4 linked regions of the Drosophila melanogaster genome follow. The gene in region 3 interacts genetically with the main gene of each other region. Each region holds a gene or a part of one and is shown on either strand. Other genes may lie near its edges. The genes, in order: ckn, Sema5c, Lar and Abi.

Region 1 (4,711 bases), on a different chromosome or scaffold from region 3:
TTCTAGGGATGTACTAAGGTATGATTTTAATATAAGCGTGGGTATGAATTTTGAGAGTAACTGGCATATATAATACTAGAACCATTTACCAATTTATATGGCTTAAACTACTTTTTTTCGGTGTAGTCATTAATAATGAAGGGTAGTGCTCAGCGTTTTACAGCTAAATTGAACGTTTTGAGACTTTTTTAAGGCACTTGCCTTTTGCCCCGCCCACCGCCTACAATTTTCGGCGAAAAATCGTATGCGGCTTACTACTACGCACACACACACCACGAAACGTAGTCACACGCACACATGCGTACGATTTTGCAGAACAACTGTGCAAAAAATATGCAAATTACCATGTTAAAATGATGAATTCCTTCGAGATTTCTATGCGAATCCAATGATGACACTTAAAATTCACATTAACTGCGGTTTTCACCAAGATACCAATTGATTTTTCATACGATAAATGCTGTGCAAAAATTTCTTTTTACGTTAACACCAACACACACATGCACGCACTCAAACTCACACACATACACACACACACGCGCGCGCGGACATATACCGAGCAGAAAAGTAGCTGTGTGTTGAGAATTGGAGAATCGCAGACCCCGAGCGAGAGGAGCCCGAAAAAAGAGAAGCGCCGACGACCGCAAGCCAAAGCGTATTGAATCGCGGCTCCAGCATTCGAGCATTAAAGCCAGGTCCGTAAAATCCGATTGGAGTCCGGAGTCCTCGAAGTTGTAAGTGAGAGAGACAGAGAGAGCGAGCCAGCTGAGCGAGCTCCAAAGGAGAGCGAATGCGCAACTTGTACTTGTACTTGTCCTCCCCTTCCCCTCCCCTTCCTTTCTATCATTCTCTTGCAAGGAGAGAAAACCATTTTTCTCAGCGGCCAATTTGTTGCAATTGAAACAATAACAATTCCGCTGGGCAATTTGTTTCGGGCCTGGCAAATTAGTTAGTTAATAAATGAATGAAAAGGGGGACCGAGGGAAAGGCGGTAGTGAAAGAGAAATGGGAAAACAAAGCGTAGCTTCAATAAGCAGGCACAAGCATTATTCCCTAAAGTGGTTGCCATTGGCAACGATGGAAATGCACTTGGCACAGTGGAACCGCTTACTGAAGGCGGCTACAAGAAGTTCACCGAAGTTCTGCTAAAGCCCTAAAGTACCCAAACTGTAAGATACTATATACATATGTAAATATTAGATACTATATAAAGATTGAACATATTAAGTTGGGCTTCAAAAAGATAGAGCCCTATTTATACGTTCAATGTTCCTATATATAACTTCAAGTTGTAAGATATTAATAGATCGTTCAACTTGGTTTACTTTTCCATTGCAGCGAGAAGATTAATGAGAGGGAGTGGGGACAGCAATTGATAATCTCCTTATCTGTCCCACTGTGCGTTGAATGCCACGCAAAAGACAAACAAACCGAGGCACGCACACACACACACACACACACACACAAGCGAATGAACCAAGCACAACCACTTTTCATGCCGCACAAGGCAATAAGAGAAATAGAGAGATGGAGCCACTTGGGGAGAGAGCGCAAGAGCGAGCGAGGCTCCATCGGCGGTAACTCTATTTGAGAACCGCGCAGCTGCATGCTCTCGCTCTCTTTCTCTGCCTCTAATCTCTTGGTGGAGCCATTGCCGCCCGACTCCCCTCCCCAACCGTTATTCTAACACTTCATTGGAGACAACGACATCAAGTCATTTGATTCCCACACAAATCTCTGCATATTGAGCGCGGACTCTCTCTACATCTCCAGCTATCTCGCTCTCACTCGTTTTATTATGGCAAGTGAGTTATGGTTTTTCCGGCTGTGTGTGTGTAAGTGTGTACTGCTGCGCTTTCTATTGATTTATATGAGTTTTATGGCGCAATCTGAGCTATAACAGCCAAAGAGCAGAAAAAATTTACGTAGAGCGCTGGTCTCGATTTTAATTATGGCAAGGGACAATTATGCAAACGGAGAATTAATAAAAAAAAAGGAAAACAATAAAGAACAAGACTTTAAGTTTTATTACACTCCCACTACTCACGACCAGAGTTGTCACGTGTCGTTCGCAATGCCAGACACGTGTTCGTTTATTAATTACATAAGCCTAAACAGCGGCAGCTGCAGTCGTGAGTACCCCTCCTCCTGATTGTCTTTTGTTTCCTCTATTTTTTTGTTGAAAACCCAATTTCCTGCAGATGCTAAAGATGCCGCATTGAATACAAGGCGCATCGAAACAGCTGGCAACCCTCATAAGTGACAGATGGCGACGCCGACGTCGACGCAGGCAGCGCAGGACGAAGGCCGCATCAAAATAAAAACACAAAAAAGAGTTGCCGCCTGTCCGAAATGTACCAAAAACACCAAGACCCATTTAAGTGTAAACGTAATTAAGTGTACATATTATAAACTTACGTTAGCAGATAATATTACTATTTTCCAGGCTTTTGGCTAAGTTCTCTCCGCTCCTCCTCTTACCGTTCGACAAATCACATAAATCACAAGCGTAACGAAAGCTGGCACACAAAATGTAAACAATGTAAAACGCTCGTAATTGTTGCTTTTGTAGCTTAATGAATTTCACGTTTTTTATGGTTTTTTCCACAAAAACAAGAGACTAACAAACGGCATCAAACGCACGCAGACACATCCACTCGCACCAAAACTCACTGTTTGTTGTCTTTATTTTATGTCTACGACGCGCGAGTAAAACATAAAAACCAGATTAATTTCAGGCAGACGAAAATGTTGACGCTTTTTTTTTTGTTGGTTTCTTTTAAGCTGAATTTCTTGCTCAGTTGTTGTGGTCGCGAGTGCTCTTTTTTATTTGCTGAGCCGCCATTTTCTTTTGTGGCAATTTGTTGAGTTTTATTTATTTTTTTTATTTTCTCAGATATATTAAGCACTGCTTTCTTACTTTGTAATTATAATCACTTTACTTTGTTGTGATATCCGTACTTGTGATATATTTCGTTTTTGAATCTAACGACAAAAGAACGGGTTTCCGCTACAAACGTCCGAACAGCGGAAAAACGAAAACAAAACTTAGTGTGATCGCAGCGTGGCTGTTGGAAAATACCTCATTAATAAAACATCGATTGCACACAAAGTATTGACGTATCGATGTTTTAGTATTTTTGGGTCATCTGCTCAGTTTGTGTTTTGAAGTTGATGTTATAATCATCAAAAAATAATGTCTTTTGTATTTTTGCTTTAAATAGTGTTGTACGTACAACTTTTTCATTTATCACCGGTCATAATTGTTTTCCACCCCTGAAACCGGTGTGGAAGCTCAAAAATACCAATTATTTAAAAACGACCCCTAGCAGTGTTGGTAAACATGTTATTATTGAGGCACTTGCAGCACTCCCTTGTCGGTATTTTCTGTGCTGTCACTTCGCGTTCTCCGCTTTGTGCTCTCCTTCCACAACGAAATAAACGGAGAAATAGCAATGTTAGTTTTAATTCGTTTTAGCCATAACAATTAATTAAACGAGTGCGAGTGCCAGTGTCTTAATTAAAATGTATGTGGCGCACTGATTGGCTTTAATTTAAATGTTTCGTGCTGTTTGATTTGTCCCCTGTGTTATATTTGTGCGGCGTTTTGTGCATACTTTTTGTGGTTAAATAAACTAAAGGAACCAGTGTGAGTCGATTACTAAGCTTAAGCTTATTAAAAGTGTTAATGTTAAAAAAGCGGCGTCTTAATTGAAAAATGCTAATGAGTTAAAACAGGTTGGCGACTCTCCTGCTCGCTCTCGATGCCCTGCCTCCACTCTCTCTCTTTCTCGCTCATTTGTTGCACTATTGTTGTTGCGGCCAACTGGGTACTTTTAACAGTTACCTTGGTCAATGTACGGCATTAATTACGCTCAAATACTTAAGTACTGAGATGCCAAGTAAGCGGTGAAAGAAGGAGAGGCGAGGAGTAAAAATAAACTAATTTGCACACTCGCTTTGGCGTGCTAATTCCACTTACTTTTCTTCTTTTATTGTTTTGTGGGCGTTTTGCATGATTCACTCGCGTTTGTTTTGTCTTATTCGTTTTATCAACGTCTACGCATTTGGTGCAGCGCAAGCAACAACAACTACCTGTGGCATGCAGTTCGTTTGGCGTCTGCGTATGTGTGTGTGTGCCTCAAATGTCAAAGTTGACATTTGGTTTTGGGCGGGATTTCAAATTCGTGGGCAAAGAGAAAACGATAACAGAGAGAGCAATAGAAATTCATAAGTTCGTTTATCTATCAGATTCTGAAGATAATGCTACGACACTTTACAGTTAAGCTTCTACAAAATAACAAATCCTTAAAAAAGTTCAGTCAATGTATAAATATAAATATATTTCGCCACTAATAGTTTATTAAAATATATTTTTTTATTTAAACTAGAAAATAAAACTTACTTTTAGCTTAATTTGTAATTGTAAAATGTCTTTTTAATTTATTTTACTGTAAACCGCTTCGTTTTTAACTCGTATCTATTTACTCTTATTTTTGCAGTTTTCTGTTATCAATCTGTTTGTCTCTGTGTGTTACGTGATATCAAAATATTTTACCCAGCTAGCAAATGCAGAAAATGCCCTCGCAAATTCTGAACGACGGCAGCAGCGTCAGCTTGAATAGCGCCAGTATGAACATGGCCAATACGCCCAATAGTATAACGGTAAAGACCGCCTACAATGGCCAGATTATCATTACCACCATCAACA
Region 2 (4,703 bases), on a different chromosome or scaffold from region 3:
AATATCGGGCTCTTATCATTATGCCATAATTCAGAGGTTGGTAAATAAGAGAGCAACAAAAAATATGGCAGAGTGGAGTTATGGTCGAAGTGAAAATCGTAGGCAATAAAGAATAGAAAAGGCAACTAAAACTGAAACTGAAAAGTATGACAAATGATTGACGACAAGGGAACATGATAAACGACTTCCCTTCCCGGGCAGCAATGGGTTAAGGTGGGTTTATCAACATGACGACACTATAGACACATGCGTCCATGTGTGTATCTTATCGTGTTTTTTTTTCCGACAGAGGTGGAGTAGTATCGCATCCATATCTATGCGAAGCAGAAACAAACAAACTTCAAGACGCGTAAATGAAAAGTAAACTACAAGAACCGAGTAACCCGGCTAAAGCGACAGATACTTTTGTATCTCGAAACGCGTATATTAAATTGCTCAACAAATAAACGGAGTATACCACTTCTCCCTCGGCGCTGCAATATTATTATTTGGTTACCTTTTCGGTTTTGTTCCCTTTCCCTCTTTTCTTAATTTTTTTATTCTTTTTTTTACACTCAATTATCTTTATTTATTCACTTGCGCACAGCAGGTACTTGAGATAAGTTCTCGACGAGGGGTTTTTTTTGTTTTTGGTCGATCTTGGTTGATATGTAAAAAATCTTTGGTATACCAGTGCGTGCACTTTCATTTTTATACACTTTTGTGTATTTTTTTGTAACTTGCGTAATACGCTAAAAAAACACAGAAGACGAATATAATCAGTACCCGTTTTACGTACGCAATGCATCTGTTTATTTTCTTCTGATCGTCGAATTTTACGTAATGCCTCTCTGCTGATAACCCAAAGTTAACAAATGCTTAAGTGACGATTTATTTTCGGGGGTGTTTTCCCTTTTCATTTCTTATCGCTATCAATGCCCAAAATAATGACCCACTTATCGGTGAGACTAATTAAAAAGCAAGTCCTTCAAACAGTACATATCTTTGGGGTTTTGACGCAACAGGAAAAATAAAAACAGTCATAATGACTAGGTACACGGCTTAGCCGTGACTCAATTGGCCGGAAACAAAATCTATAATAACTAATAACAATAGCCTCCCGGTTTTTACCTGGCGCCGACAATCACTTGGTTCCTGGCCACGTCGAATAGCATTTCCGAATACCAGGTCGTTTCGGGATCGTAAAATCGTTTGGCCGTCGACATTAAATCTGTTAAGAAAATAAAAACATTTTTGTAAGAAAAAGATTGCACAAAATCGTAAAAACAAATACTAAGCAATTTAATTGAAGTTTTATTAGCAATTATATTAGCAATTATTATATAAGCAATTATTATCTCAGCAATTATATTGCAAATTTATTAAAACATTTTGGCATCTTGGCACAATTAAGCTCAATTTTATTTAACCCATATTTTTCAAGGTTTTTAAAAGATTCACTGATTCATTGGTAAAACATATACTTTTCAATATTTAAGTGCGAAATAAAATAAAAAAGCGCTAAACAAAAATTAAAATCATTGTCAACACAACGTTGGGCTGAGTTCGCATTTTAAGACGGACTTCGAGATACATTTCAGTGCAAAAATCACAAAAAAAGAACAAATATTTTAACAAAATGCGAAACTTTTTCTGATTAAAAGCAGCAGATACACGAATGTATTGGGGTGTCATAAAAGCGGTTTGTTGGGGAACTCGGTTAAATCGAGATCATTGTTGACATTCCGTGCAAATACAAACAGTTGGGCAGATGGGTGTATTCGTTGTATTCGAAATGGCACCTGTTCGATCGAACCGAACATTTGTGCAATCGATTGCAGCAGACTCTCGGAATCACTTAGAACTTTGACAGACATCAACCCAATTTACAGTTCCACCGCTTCAAGTGGCCAACTTGATTGATTGCCGTGCAATTGACACAGTTTCGAGTAATTTTTGATAATCCGCCCACCTCGAGAACTCACCTTGATATGAGATGTATCGCGAATCGTTTTCCAGCAAATCCACACTTGATTTTGTCGTATAACCACTGCCCGTCGAAGGCTGTGGGCCTTCTAGGGTTAAGAGCGATAGAATCAGAAGAAGCCACAGTTGGCTAAACATTTTGGGAAGTTTCAGTATTAACATGCTGCAAAAAGAAAAGAAATGAAGTTGTAATGTGTGTTGTGGATATAATATAGTTTTTCATACATTTTTAACTAATTATCGACGTTCAACAAACGCTAACTCAATTTCTTCTTAAATGTTATTTATCCTCTTTTCAACTCAGAAATAACAGTTCTTAAATTTTTTAAATTAAAATTGTCTTCAATAATTCCTTAAACACTAGCTTTTAAATAAGTTTAAATTATATTTCATTTTGAATTATGTTTCACTATTTAACAGAAACCCCTTAATCTGTCCTGAAGATTAGTAATAAGTTTTTGTTGCAGCACTTTACACTTCCTCAAAAAATATTACAAAAATTGTAAACAGCAAAAAACGTCGATTATACAGATGAGATAGTCGAAACTTACTTCATTTAGTGTCACGTTTCGTGCAAAATAAAAGACTAAAATTTATTCCATTCAACTTTTGCGGCGAACAGATTGTAAAAGACTGTTGGTAAATTGTATAATATAGGCATGTGCCTGATAAGCAGGGGAATCGAGCAAGGCGCGTGTTTCTGATTCTTCAGATGATCTGACCGTAACTACGATCACCGTGGTTCACTTTGCACACAACACTCACAATTTTTCAATTTTCCATACGATTTTCGTATTATTTGAAAGAAATTTTCAGAAGAAAGGCGGATTGGCTCCCCCTCAAGTGGAGTTGGGTTAAAAACATTGACAAAAGACACAGATAGACACCAACAACACGGTCGACGAATATAGCGAGACGGGTTTTTACTTCTGCCTCGATTTCCTACTCTTATGATTATTCAGATACGAGTTATACGGACGCGCATGCCCGACCGATCGGCGAAGTTGACCGCGCAAAGAGTCGCAAGAAACTGAACCCACCATGGATTCGGATTCGGATCCATAGTCAGTCGATAGAGAGAGAAGAGAGTGAGACAGAGAAGCGAATGGAACGAAAACAAAAACGTGAAAACGAAGCACGAACGCAAAACAAAAAAAAAACGCCGAGGCAAACAAGAGAGAACAGGCTAAAACGCCGACGAAGATAACCGGCTCAATTTCGGCTTGAAGAATGCACTCGGAAAAAATGTGCAATACAACAAGGAAAAAAATATTTAAAATTCGCTTTCCTTTGATTCAAAATTTAAAAACGAAAATATATTTTACATAATTTATTCAAGAAATATTTTTCAGAATTATGTGTATTCGTTTTTAATGATTTTCTGCTAGTATCTTAAATGTTAAAGACTTTTCAAGCCTTAATTCATAAAATTTATAAGTACACAGAAGTGTAGCATAGTTTTGAGGTCCTTACCTATGAAATAATCCAATGAATTAAAAACTATATATAATATAATTCAACTGTAAAAATAAAAATAAAAAATAATAATAAAATAATTAAAAGACCTTATTTTCATCTTTGTAATTTATTATTTTAACTGAACTGTTTGTTAAATCGAATAATTTAAGGGCAAGTCTCTTAGATAGTAATAGCAATCCAAATTTATTTTTCAAGTCATCCCACAAAAGTAAGTACGAATTTCTCTCAGTGTCTGCTTGGGAGTTAAGAGGCGCGGCTACGGCAGCCGAAGCAGCAACTGGGCAGGGCGCTCATATATCATGCGACAACGACAACGAGAACGACTCTTCAGAATCAGAATCTGAATCTCCGGGATCGGGATCGGGATGTGCAGCTCCGCGAAGAGGTATAGAGAAGCCACTTGGAGGGTGGGACGGGCACTTGCTGTGCTTCGATTTGGTAGCCTGACAAATTGACATTAGTATTGCCGACGTCGCGGTTCGAGGACACGTGATATATTCCTCCAGACGAGGGATCAACAGATCCTATCTTTTCCGCCTTGCGACGTTTTTGCCCATCAGCAAAGATACTCGATTAGCAAATCATAGAAATGGCGCCAAAACAAATGATTTAATAGATTTTCTCATTCTATACAGATAGATAGTATAGTATATTTTTGATACAAAAGGAATGATTTATCACTTATTTAATTATTTCTTTATCATAATGAAGTATAAACGGTGTTTTAATGCTTTGTACAACAGTTTACAGTACCTGAATCACTCATCTCAAGTCCAACACCATAAAGTTCTTATTTAAGGAACAACAACAGATATGACGCATTTTCACGGGATTAGTTTTGCTCATTCACCTGGTGGGGCTTTGTTCTATTTTTTTAGTGTTCCTTCCAAGGTTTTCCTTTTACTGCAGACATCCCAGGCTGTACTATTCAGATCTTTGTCAGCCTTGACTCCCAGAGTAAGTGTGAAAACACAGCTGGTCGCTGAGAACAAATACGAAACCATCAAATGGACCGTCCCGAAGGTGCAGTAACCTCAACTTGAATGCAACTGCAACACGATCCTCGGATTTTGTTTATGCCACAGCACGAACCCAAGGGATACACAAACATGAGGACCGATGCCATCCGTCCAATCCGTTTCAATTCGATCCGGGAGTTAAAGTTGAGTGTGGGCAGACAACGATCGACATTAGCATAGGCCCAAAACATTGCCAGCCCATGACAATTTACGGCTACCTAAACCATTGTCGACGCGGCC
Region 3 (4,824 bases):
AAAGCGAAATCACGAGAATCACGACTGCAGGTAGGTCCGTGGCATATGTACGTATGCATGTTTTTGCGTCCATCTCCGTATATATATATATATATGTATGTATGTATGTATATGTATGCACTTGTAAAAATCAATTAAACTTTTCAAGTGAAGTTATAATGGCTGGCAACCCTTTCGAGCACTCACACTCATTTTTCTGCTTGATTTTTTGCGGACTTTCGACTTTCCCCTACATACATACATACACATATATTGTTTTTGTTGCCTCTGGCTGTTCAGTCAGTTTCTTATTGTTTTCATAGCCTTGCAACGCCTTGTTGTTGCAGTTGTCAAAAGTTTTAAAATAATTGGATTTTTTTCGGTCTCCATGTGCGAACGAGTGAGTGAGTGAGAGCACTGTGAGCACAGAACACGAACATCGGAATGTCGACGACTGCAGCCGAAAAAAAGGAGAGAGAGAGGTGGTGGAAAATGGAGGTATTGCCGCCCCCAAACTCATTCTATATAAATTAAAATTTCTTTGTTGCAAACCCCTTCGCGTTCACACACACACACACACCGACATCCAGACACAGGAGGGTACTTAATGCAGGATTGCTGCAGTCATCCAACCAACGCCATCATCACGAGTATTACCCAATTTCCAGCTGAAGTTTTCAACACCAAATTGTAAACGTCAACAACAAGCGGCGAAAAAGAAGAGTGGGCGTGGCCGATCAGCCGCCTTTATATAGCCAACGATGGCATGACGAACGAATGGTAAAACGCTGTTTGAACAGTGAGAATGGAAGGTGGGGGGGGGGGGGGTGCCCATTGAAGTACTAGTCCTTTTGCTTTGGCTCCAACTGAGGCCCATAGGGCTAATGGGAGTGGGGATAGTTCGAGTCGCTGTGAAATGCAAAGAGCAAATTAAGCCCCCTCTCATTTATCAATATCAATCCATCCATCTATATATATATATATATCTAGCTACTGTTTTCATTCAATAGGAGCAACCACATGTTAATATAATAAACAAGTTACATAGTAATTTCAACTTGGTCAGCACCTAATTAACCCCAAGCCCTGCGAACGATGTATCAAGCGATATAATTTCAATTAGGCTAATGTAAGCCATAGAATAGCCTATAGTTTTTAACAACCATATCCTACGATTTTCGATTCTGTTTCTGCCAAAGAAAGTAGCCCTTACCACTTGTGAAGCCTACTTTGGGTATTCGTTATACATGGCGTATGCGTATTATTTTACACTGGCGCAGAAAAAACGTTTTTGTTTCAAACCTCATTTCAAGTTTGGATCGAAAAAGGAATGAAAGGAAAAATTTTTACTTCGCCCCTTCGTCGGCAATTTTTCTCCTTTCTGCTTCTGCTTCTAATAAAAACACTTGACACCAAAAACGAGGAAAGTTCCTTGAGGCAAGTGGTGAAAGACATTTTAGGTTGAGTTGTGTTGTACGAGTTTCTACAACGAAAATATTAAATACTTGTCAAAACACTTGGAAAGGCTTTTTTTCAGAATATTTACTTTTATAAGTTTTATTGAGAATTTACTCAAAAATAATATTTTATACTAGAGAATTGAGCAGAAGGCTCTGAATAAGGAACTCGCTTGAAAATATTGAATAGCAGATAATGTCAATTGAAAAATGCTTCATTTTGAGAACAGCTTTAAGCATTAGTAAACATTTTGGCTTTAAAACAACCTATATATATAGAATCTTATTTAGCTTTGCAAGGCCAGGCCAAACTTAAATTTTCTTGAGCTCTTGCCAAGAACTTCCCATTACTTGCCGAGGACATAACTATGTCAATCTGCAGACCCACACTCACACAGGACACACACTGCAGTCCTTTTTTCGCCTTAGCTGAAAATCACTTCGCAGCTGGTCCTAAAACGATTTTAGGCCGCTCCAATCACAAACACACACTCTCGGCACACCCGAATCGGAAGGCAGCGAAAACATCAGCCACAACAATCCTTGCAGGACGCAGCGTTATTTTCGCACCAAACTGCAGGAAACCCCGCCAGGACCTCAATCGAAAAAGAACTGTGAAAAATTGCCAACCGTTTCGCTTTGAGGCCAAAAGGAGCGGGCCGAAAAAAGAGCTGCTCGCTCGTAAAACTGCAAATGAAAATAGATAAAAAGTATCTGTCGTCCCAACCAGTAAACTTCATTTTGTAAATCAATTGAATTTTCAATTGTGTGCGAGCAAACTAAACCAAACCAAACCAAACCACGACGAAACGACGGAGCACAAAAAGAAAAAGTAGGTAAACATAAAAGGACAAATAAAGGAAACGACACTATTACGGAAGAAAGGATGGGGAGACCGAAGGAATCCCCTTCTCCCCGGGGCAATCGTTTCAATCTCCATCTCGAGCAGCGGCACAGGATTGCCGTTTCTTATTAGCAGGGCCAGGACGATAAGGATAAAGTCCATATATATATCGATATTCATAAGGAAATTCCAGGTCACACGCACACACCACACACCAGGCTTCTGATAATTTTCAGAGTTTGTTTTCTCTTTAGATTTTACCGATTTATCCGCCAGGTATTATCGGCTACGTCAGTTGTTCTTCGGTAATTATGTTTCGCGGAAGTTCCTCGCCTGCAACTCGGATGGTGTAATTATGGGAATAATTTTTTAACCGGCTTGCGGCAAAACACGTTCACAAAAACAAGTGCACACATATGTACGAGTACAGCGGCAACAACGAGTTAATGGAGAAAGGGTTGAAGGGGGTTGAACCGAGGCAAGCCGAGGAGTTCGACGATTTGGTTTTTGGTTAACTTGGCTAAAATCACTTTGCCGGATTTTCGAAATGCTGCGGCTCTTTGCTATTGCATTATAACCGAGTACGATCTGTGGTTATGTTATATCACTCGAAATTGGATTCAAACGATTCGTTGGATTTTTTGCGAATTTTGTGTAATATACAATTTGCTGTCGCGCTGCTTGTTGCCCGATTATCGCACACACACGGCTGAGAAGGACGCGCTCTGTTTCTTACACGCTCGTTACATCCTGCCAAATCCCGAAATTGTACTAAATACGTACAAAACTTTTACGATTGGCTAAGGCTGCTAGCAGCAATGCTCGTGTTTTCCTCGCGTTCAGTGTGTGCGTTTGTGAGTCGCCACTCGACCCGAAGAGTCCTTCAGCGTGCCCGAGGATGCGCCGACCGAGCGCCGAGTGTGGTGGATTTTTCCGGAGAGCGGAAAAGCCGAGAAATTCGCCAGCCGAAGCTGCGAGCGATGGAAGAGAAACACCAAAGGATGGCTACTCAAAAGGAACTCACTTTGTACTCAGAACTCAATCGAATAGACAAACCATTCTGGGAAATGTTAAGAGCACACAAATCGGAGTGATTCTAAATAGCATTCAAAAATCACTCAGTTTAAAATGTTATGGAACAGTTGAGTGCAAGGAATATTTGATAAAATAACATAAAATAAATTTGAAAAAAATGTAAAATAAACTGAGAGGAATTACGAAACATCATTTTTAGCATGAGTTTCAAAAAATATTTTATATTTAATATAAAATTGGGATTTTCTTTAGCATTATAAAAATTATTATTTAATTCTTATAAATGTATGGGAATGGTAAATCCAGTTTACACTGCTCGCTCGATTCGAGCTAATTTATTTAACATTGAGATAATCACTGAGTGCTTTTATAGCAAAACCAGCAATGTTTCTCTTAGAGTGAAGTGCTTGCTGGGTAATAACATTTATAGCTCAACTAAAAAGGACTCGAATTGCAGACGCAAAGAGTACAGGCTTATATGAGAAATGTAAACGCATTTTAAATGCTCAAAGGCAACAAAACAGACTCACTCAATTTCGAGATTCGAGACCTGCGAGGCTTAGAACATGAAACCAAAGAGAAGCAAATCTGCGATTAAGGCAACTCAATCCTTCTCAGCAAGGACTTGCTCGAAGAGAGCCTGGTGAGATGGCTAAACGAGCTTTCGACGTGGGTGAATCGGAAAGGTTCGGCTTTTAGGCGCCGAGCCCGTCGACGAAGGTGAAAAGCGAATCGCGTCCACGAAAAGCCCGCCATTGACTTTGACCGTCGTTCGCCAGTCGTCAGTTTCAACTGGAGCGGCGGGCAGTAAGCTGAAATCGGCTGAAAGGACGAGCTGGCAGGATATTTCGCAGAAGGGCGAACCAGCGCAGTGCCGAGCAGGAAAAGGCGAGAAACGGCCTGTGCTAATTTTCCTGGCTAGCTAGATTTTTGGCGCGCTCCAGATTTAATCCTGCAGTCTAAGTGAATGTGAAATGTAACAAGCCAAGTGACAGTTACCAAAAGTCAGAAGACAAAAGGAAGGGAGGAAAGCTAAAAGGCAGAAAGCCACCGAACAGATGGAAACAACTCGCAGATGCTGATGTTCCTGCCCCAGGAGACATTTAACATAATAAAAACGAACGTGTGCGGCATTTTGTGTTGCCTTTTGGCCAAGTTAACTCCTGTTCCTGCATCTGTGTGTGTGTGTGTGTGTGTTCGTTACATGCTAATATCACAGACACTCGCCCGCGCACAACCCACACAAACTTACAAACAAACAATATTGCAAATGTGTGCGTGAGGCAGTTGGCCAAAGTGTCGTAAATCGTTTAGACAGCGCGACGTGGCCCAGAAAAAGGAGATGAGGGCCAAAAAACGATATGTAAACGACACAGCAGTCGCCGTGGGAAAAACTGGGAAACGCCAACAGAAAAAGCCAAGGAAACGAAGGATCCGACAATGAACTGCATTTGTTGCTCATGTGAGTATCCCGCCTCAAAGAAATTATCTCTTTTTTTTTTTTGTTTT
Region 4 (5,447 bases), on a different chromosome or scaffold from region 3:
AAAGAGTCCGTCTTCAAGCTGTTCAGGTCCACTCCAATAATTGTTCACAAATAAAGGTATTTCCATATTTATGTATGTATAGTTGAGGGGCCCAAAAAGTGGGCAACAATTTAGCACATTTTATGCAAATCATGCCAGCACTCCACTTTTTTCTGGCATTTCCGCCACGTCAACTCCTCGAAACCTGATAATAAATTTAGCAAATGGGTAAAAAACCTTCCACATATCACCACGAAAGCATTAATTTACCCGGAGCCGAGTTATGGAAAAGTTTTCCGGGACGAGACATTGAATTGAAATCGGTTTGTAGAGCAAAGTGTCGATTATAATGGATTGATTGACTGACTGAATGACCCCAATGAGTGTTGGCATTTGCAAATATTTCAAGCCTTCCATCACACGACTTGAAATTTGCATTTGAGATTTCGAATTTGAATTTGGCAGGCCACAGAGCCTTGCCCCAATTACGGATTTTTACTGACATCCGGGGCTCGACTCACGAGAAGGTCAGCGCAAATTACACGGTCATAGAACAAGGGCTTGCGGTTTAGTAATTGAAATTTTTATTAGCTATTATTTTTACCATATAGAGCGTATGTGTACTTGTATTGTTTAATTTAATTTGATTCCTTTGCTGGCAATTCCATTTTAACTAAACGTTCGCAAAAAAAAGACATCGTTGCGGTTCGTAAAAGTATAAACAAAAGTTCCAACTGGCCAATACTTAAGTATTAAATGCTAACTGAAATTTATATAACCTACAGTATTGCTGGGGGCATAGGTTCGGGTAGTATTGGTGTATAATAGCCGGGCATATCAAAGCGCAAGGCAAACAGAAATCGCTTGATAAAACTGTGAGCAAATATTTAAAGTATTTGGATTGGCGGCAGGAGCAGGACAGAATTCGTCTACGGTTGTGGAACAGTTTTATAATATCGCATAAGTTATTCACGGGTATCCGGTTTCACTTTCCCCTTCTTGCATCGTTTTCGGCTACTAAAGTGTAAATAGTTTTAGTTGGGCAGCAAGCGGTATCCCTAGCCCGTGGATTCTGTGTGTTTGTGTGCTCGTTTATATTAGACTAAATGCGGTTGGCTGATGCTAATGGAATTCGCTTTCTCTGGCCTGCTGTGCTTGTGTAGGTGTGTAATTGTATAATTGTCCTTATTAATATGCTCAAAATCTTATCGTCATTGTCAGCTGAGTCTGTTGCGGTCCTCAGTCTAACTCTCCGATAACTGAATTGAAATTTTTTGGAGCTCTTGAGAAGCAGCAGAGGACTGGAACAGACCAGATGATGCAGATTATTGTAATGGTTGGCATGTTTAGAATATCGATGCGAGGCTTAGACACAAGGCTCTACGTAGTTGCCCGGAAACAGACCGGTAACACCATCCATGACGCCCTCCCACCAGCCGTCGTCGTTTTTCTTGAGCACGTACAGCACTGAGCTTTCCTGGAAGCTCAGCTCGTCGTCCTTGTCGGCATAGTAGTCGTAAATGGCTACCACTGGAATGTTTGTAAGAATTAGTAAGGTATATTGTTAGTTGCTCCAATCAGCCTACCCTTCTCAATGAAGTTCTTGGGCACCCAGCCGGGTAAGTTCTGATCCTCGGGCACTATGGGCGCCAGCTGCGGTCCCGTCGATGTGCGTGGTCGTCCGAAGTCTTGATGCTCATCCTCCGGCGGCGGCGGAGGTGGCAAGGGAGGCGACTGTGAGCCGGGACGAGCGAAGTTCAAGCTGAAGTGATTCCTTTGGAAAAATACGCGTTTAATATACAAGATAACATATGAATTTCATGGAGTTATACACAGTACAAACACGAAAACCTAGTATAACTTTTTTTAGCTGAGTATAACCCTATGATAAACAGAGAAACATGCAATTTACCTATTTGGATTCCTGGATTTGCACAGAGAACAATAAATAGGTTATATTTACACAAAGAAGGGATTGCATTTTCCAGAAACTTACCTGTTGATATTGCGTCCCAAAGTGTGCATGCCAATGTGACTCTGCTCGGTCATCTCGTGCTGCGAAACCGTAAGTGGTGAAGGAGGAGCTGCTACGAATTGCAAACCGCATTATTAGTATTGAGCTATTGCAGAATAATCAAATTAACTCACGTGGCATGCTGCTGCGATCGTCGTACGTAGTGGGCGGCGGTGGTGGCAGCGATTGCATCATGCCCGCGGAGGGCAGGTTTACATGTGTGGCTATCTGCTGGCTGGGTGGCATCGGAAGTGCACTGTAGCCAGCAGCTCGTTCATTGCCCGCCGCTCCGCCGCCTGTGGTGGTGGTAGTCATCGTTGAAGAAGCCGTCGACATTCGCTTTGGATGCCCAATAGGATAGTTGGGAGCGTAGTGCGATGGCACCTGTGGTGGATTGACCACAGGCGGAGTGCGGTACTCCCGCGAACTCTTGCCCAGTGTCCCGGTATTGCTGACCGACTTGCCCAGTGTGCCAGTGTTCCCAGCTCGCGACATCTGCGGCGGAGTTGGGGGCTTCGTGGTTGGCGGAGGTCCCACCGACGGCGGCAATAAGGATTGCACGGACCCATGGCTGGAGCCCCGATGTTTCTGTCGCACCTGCGAGTGCTGGGCCGAGTTAATGCCGTGGCCAATCTCGTCCAACATCGAGTAGTCGATGGGCTTGCGCACATACTTGATGGGCTTCTCCGGATTGATGGGCGCCACGATCTTAAACTGGCGCGAGCTCACCTTGTTAGCCGTAAGCACGCCAATCTCTCTGAGAAAAGACAATGAAGATAATCAAAAATAATTAATACAAATAAAGTGAATTGAAAAAACTAAATAGTTATGTAGGAAAAGAATGAAGAAAGAGACGTTCAGTCTTATCAGCACGTCTGACGACGCATGTATGAATGTACATTTCTTCTCTATGAAGCTTTTATCACCGATGAGTCGTACTTACAGACAAAAATGTTCATTCCGTATTCTTTGTCGTTTTAAAATATGCATATCCCCTTTTCCTATTCTAGTTTAAGCAATTTGTTGTTCTTACCTCCTGGCCACCTTCTCCTTGTGGATATGCACCGTCTGGGCGATGTGGTTCATCTGGGACTCCATCTCGCCGAGCTGCTGGGCCTGAAGCTCGAGGAGCTGCATGTAGCTATAGGCGAGCGTGTTAATCTGGTAGGCCACGCTGGCCAGCGACTGGGTGGTGTAGTTCTTGGTGGCCTCCAGGGCCGCCTTCTTGTTGTCCGCGCGGTAGTAGGTGTCCTCGCAGTAGTCGGCCACCCGCTCCAGGTTCGTGTAGCTGTCCCGCAGACTCTGGCGGCCATCGGGGATCTCGGTGCGTATCAGAGAGGCTAGTTCGTCCATGATGTTCTCGCTGGCCATGGGGGTTTCGGTCAACATGGGTGTGGATGCTGCGGGCAAACGGGAAACGAAAACCCAATTAAATTCCTCGCTTTTCCGCACTTTTCACGCCCGTAAACATTTGGGGCGTGGGCTGGCCTCTGCCGACGTCGACGCCCAGCTGCTCCAGTTGATCGCTGGAGCGGTTTAATCGGACGAATCTCGCGTGCACTCACTTTATTGACTATGCGATTGCACAACAGATGCTTTTCCGGGCTAGTTGCTACGTTTTAAATGCAGTTAAATGCAGTTTTTCATTACATTTTCCGTGAAAAAAGAAAGAACGCTGGCCTGTGCTGCAAAGTACTGGAGCTTGAAGAATTTTTCAACACTGTATCAGTGCAGACACATTTGGTATTATTTTTGAAATGTATGTTCTATAAAACAGAGTGTTAAAAATTTTCCCAAAATTTAGTTATAAAAATAGCATTACAGTATCTTTTTAATTAATAATTCTTTTTTTTTTACACATTTAAAGCCGCTTTGAAGTGATTGCCAATCAGAATCGGTACATATTTCCCGGTTTAGTATTTCCCTACTCGCGCTTTGCGGTCACACTGGTTGTGAGTAATATATTTTTTCGGCAATATTAATTTTAGCTGTTGTCCAAATGTCTCACCAAACGGGTATCCGAGGTTTGTTATCTTTGGGAACCACCTAATCCGCATCCTTAGAACACCCTTTGTATTTTCAGCCAACGAGCAGCTGGCCAAGGTGTTCGGCAAAGCGAAGAATGGTAAATTTCGCGTGATAAAAGTTTCGATCGAGAATGGTGAGTGGATTTAATCCAGAAACGTATATACACAAGATATATACTAGGCATACGATTTGATAACGAACCCGCATCCGTTTTCACCCCGCCCCAAATTACAGAGCAGCTTAGTTGCGGCGCCACGGCGGAGACGAAAAAGGATTGGGAGCGCGACTACGACAAGCTTATAGGTCCCCTACTGGAAAAGGATGTGCCCTGCTATATTCTCTATCGCCTGGACGCCAAGATCCCGCTGGGCTACAGTTGGCTACTTATCAGCTGGACGCCGGACACGGCCAGCATCCGACAGAAGATGGTATACGCTTCCACGAAGGCCACGTTGAAAACGGAGTTCGGATCAGCATACATCACAGAGGAGCTGCATGCCACCACTCTGGATGAGTGCACGCTGGAGGGCTATCGCCGGCACAAGCAGGATTTCGCAGCCCCAGCTCCATTGACCAGCAGGGAGGAGGAGCTGAAAGAGCTGCGAAAGACAGAGGTTCACACTGAGATCAATACGAATACGCGGCACCAAACTCTGGGTGGGATCAATTGCCCGCTGAGCGAGGCAACCGTGGCTGCCGTTCAGGATTTGGTGCGCGGCAAGCACGACTACCTTCAGTTCCGCATCGATCTGGAGGAGGAACAGATCCATGTTTCGCGTGCGGCCAAAGTGGAGCTCGCCGATCTGCCGAAGCAAGTGCCCGAGGATCATGCACGATACCACCTCTTCCTGTTTCGGCACACGCACGAGGGCGACTACTTTGAGTCGTACGTGTTCGTCTACTCCATGCCTGGATATTCCTGCTCCGTGCGCGAGCGCATGATGTACTCAAGCTGTAAGGCTCCTTTTCTCGACGAGCTCGCGGCCCTTGGCGTGGAGGTTGTTAAGAAGGTGAGTTGATATGAATGCGAGTGGGTGTGGCTGCGCTAATAGCACTAAAGATTAGGGCTATAAAAAGCAAAAGCAGGGTATATATTGTTTGTGATTTATTTATTGCTTTCAAATCGCCACATTCACTATACTTTTGATTCACGATCTCTAGAAATATTTTGAATCATAATTAGGGCGAATGTCTCACTTTTCACTTGAAATAGAAATCTGTAAATCATAAATAATGAGTAATTTTAAATCATACTAAATCTGATTCATGTTTCTAACAACGTTTTACATTTCAGCTTGAAATCGACAGCGGCAGCGAGCTGACCGAAGCCTTCTTGCAGGACGAGCTGCACCCAAAGAAGATTCTACACCGACCGGCTTTTGCCAAGCCCAAGGGGCCACCAAACCGAGGCGCCAAGCGCCTCACG

The links.
Region 1: of Lar (region 3) and ckn, changing one enhances a phenotype caused by changing the other (phenotypic enhancement), as found in Drosophila melanogaster (one study listed by BioGRID).
Region 2: of Lar (region 3) and Sema5c, changing one suppresses a phenotype caused by changing the other (phenotypic suppression), as found in Drosophila melanogaster (one study listed by BioGRID).
Region 4: of Lar (region 3) and Abi, changing one enhances a phenotype caused by changing the other (phenotypic enhancement), as found in Drosophila melanogaster (one study listed by BioGRID).

The regions. Positions count from the first base shown.
Region 1 is NT_033778.4:14,961,633-14,966,343, reverse strand, and holds the start of ckn (caskin), read right to left. Parts: upstream 3,053-4,711; 5' UTR 2,419-3,052; intron 661-2,418; exon of another isoform or gene 345-660; intron 1-344.
Region 2 is NT_037436.4:12,078,831-12,083,533, forward strand, and holds the start of Sema5c (semaphorin 5c), read right to left. Parts: upstream 3,001-4,703; 5' UTR 2,522-3,000; coding exon 2,517-2,521; intron 2,129-2,516; coding exon 1,965-2,128; intron 1,211-1,964; coding exon 1,111-1,210; intron 1-1,110. UniProt on the Drosophila melanogaster protein: Regulates the motility of migrating epithelial cells by providing guidance cues within the migratory environment and may also play a role in development of the olfactory system. May act as a positive axonal guidance cue.
Region 3 is NT_033779.5:19,604,799-19,609,622, reverse strand, and holds the start of Lar (Leukocyte-antigen-related-like), read right to left. Parts: upstream 3,055-4,824; 5' UTR 2,542-3,054; intron 1-2,541. UniProt on the Drosophila melanogaster protein: Possible cell adhesion receptor. It possesses an intrinsic protein tyrosine phosphatase activity (PTPase). It controls motor axon guidance. In the developing eye, has a role in normal axonal targeting of the R7 photoreceptor, where it negatively regulates bdl.
Region 4 is NT_033777.3:14,118,720-14,124,166, forward strand, and holds Abi (abelson interacting protein), read right to left. Parts: upstream 3,702-5,447; 5' UTR 3,559-3,701; intron 3,531-3,558; exon of another isoform or gene 3,394-3,530; 5' UTR 3,383-3,393; coding exon 3,027-3,382; intron 2,751-3,026; coding exon 2,128-2,750; intron 2,067-2,127; coding exon 1,976-2,066; intron 1,904-1,975; coding exon 1,892-1,903; intron 1,754-1,891; coding exon 1,566-1,753; intron 1,510-1,565; coding exon 1,346-1,509; 3' UTR 543-1,345; downstream 1-542. Other genes in the region: twf (twinfilin), read left to right, coding at 3,993-4,017, 4,077-4,154, 4,256-5,031, 5,316-5,447.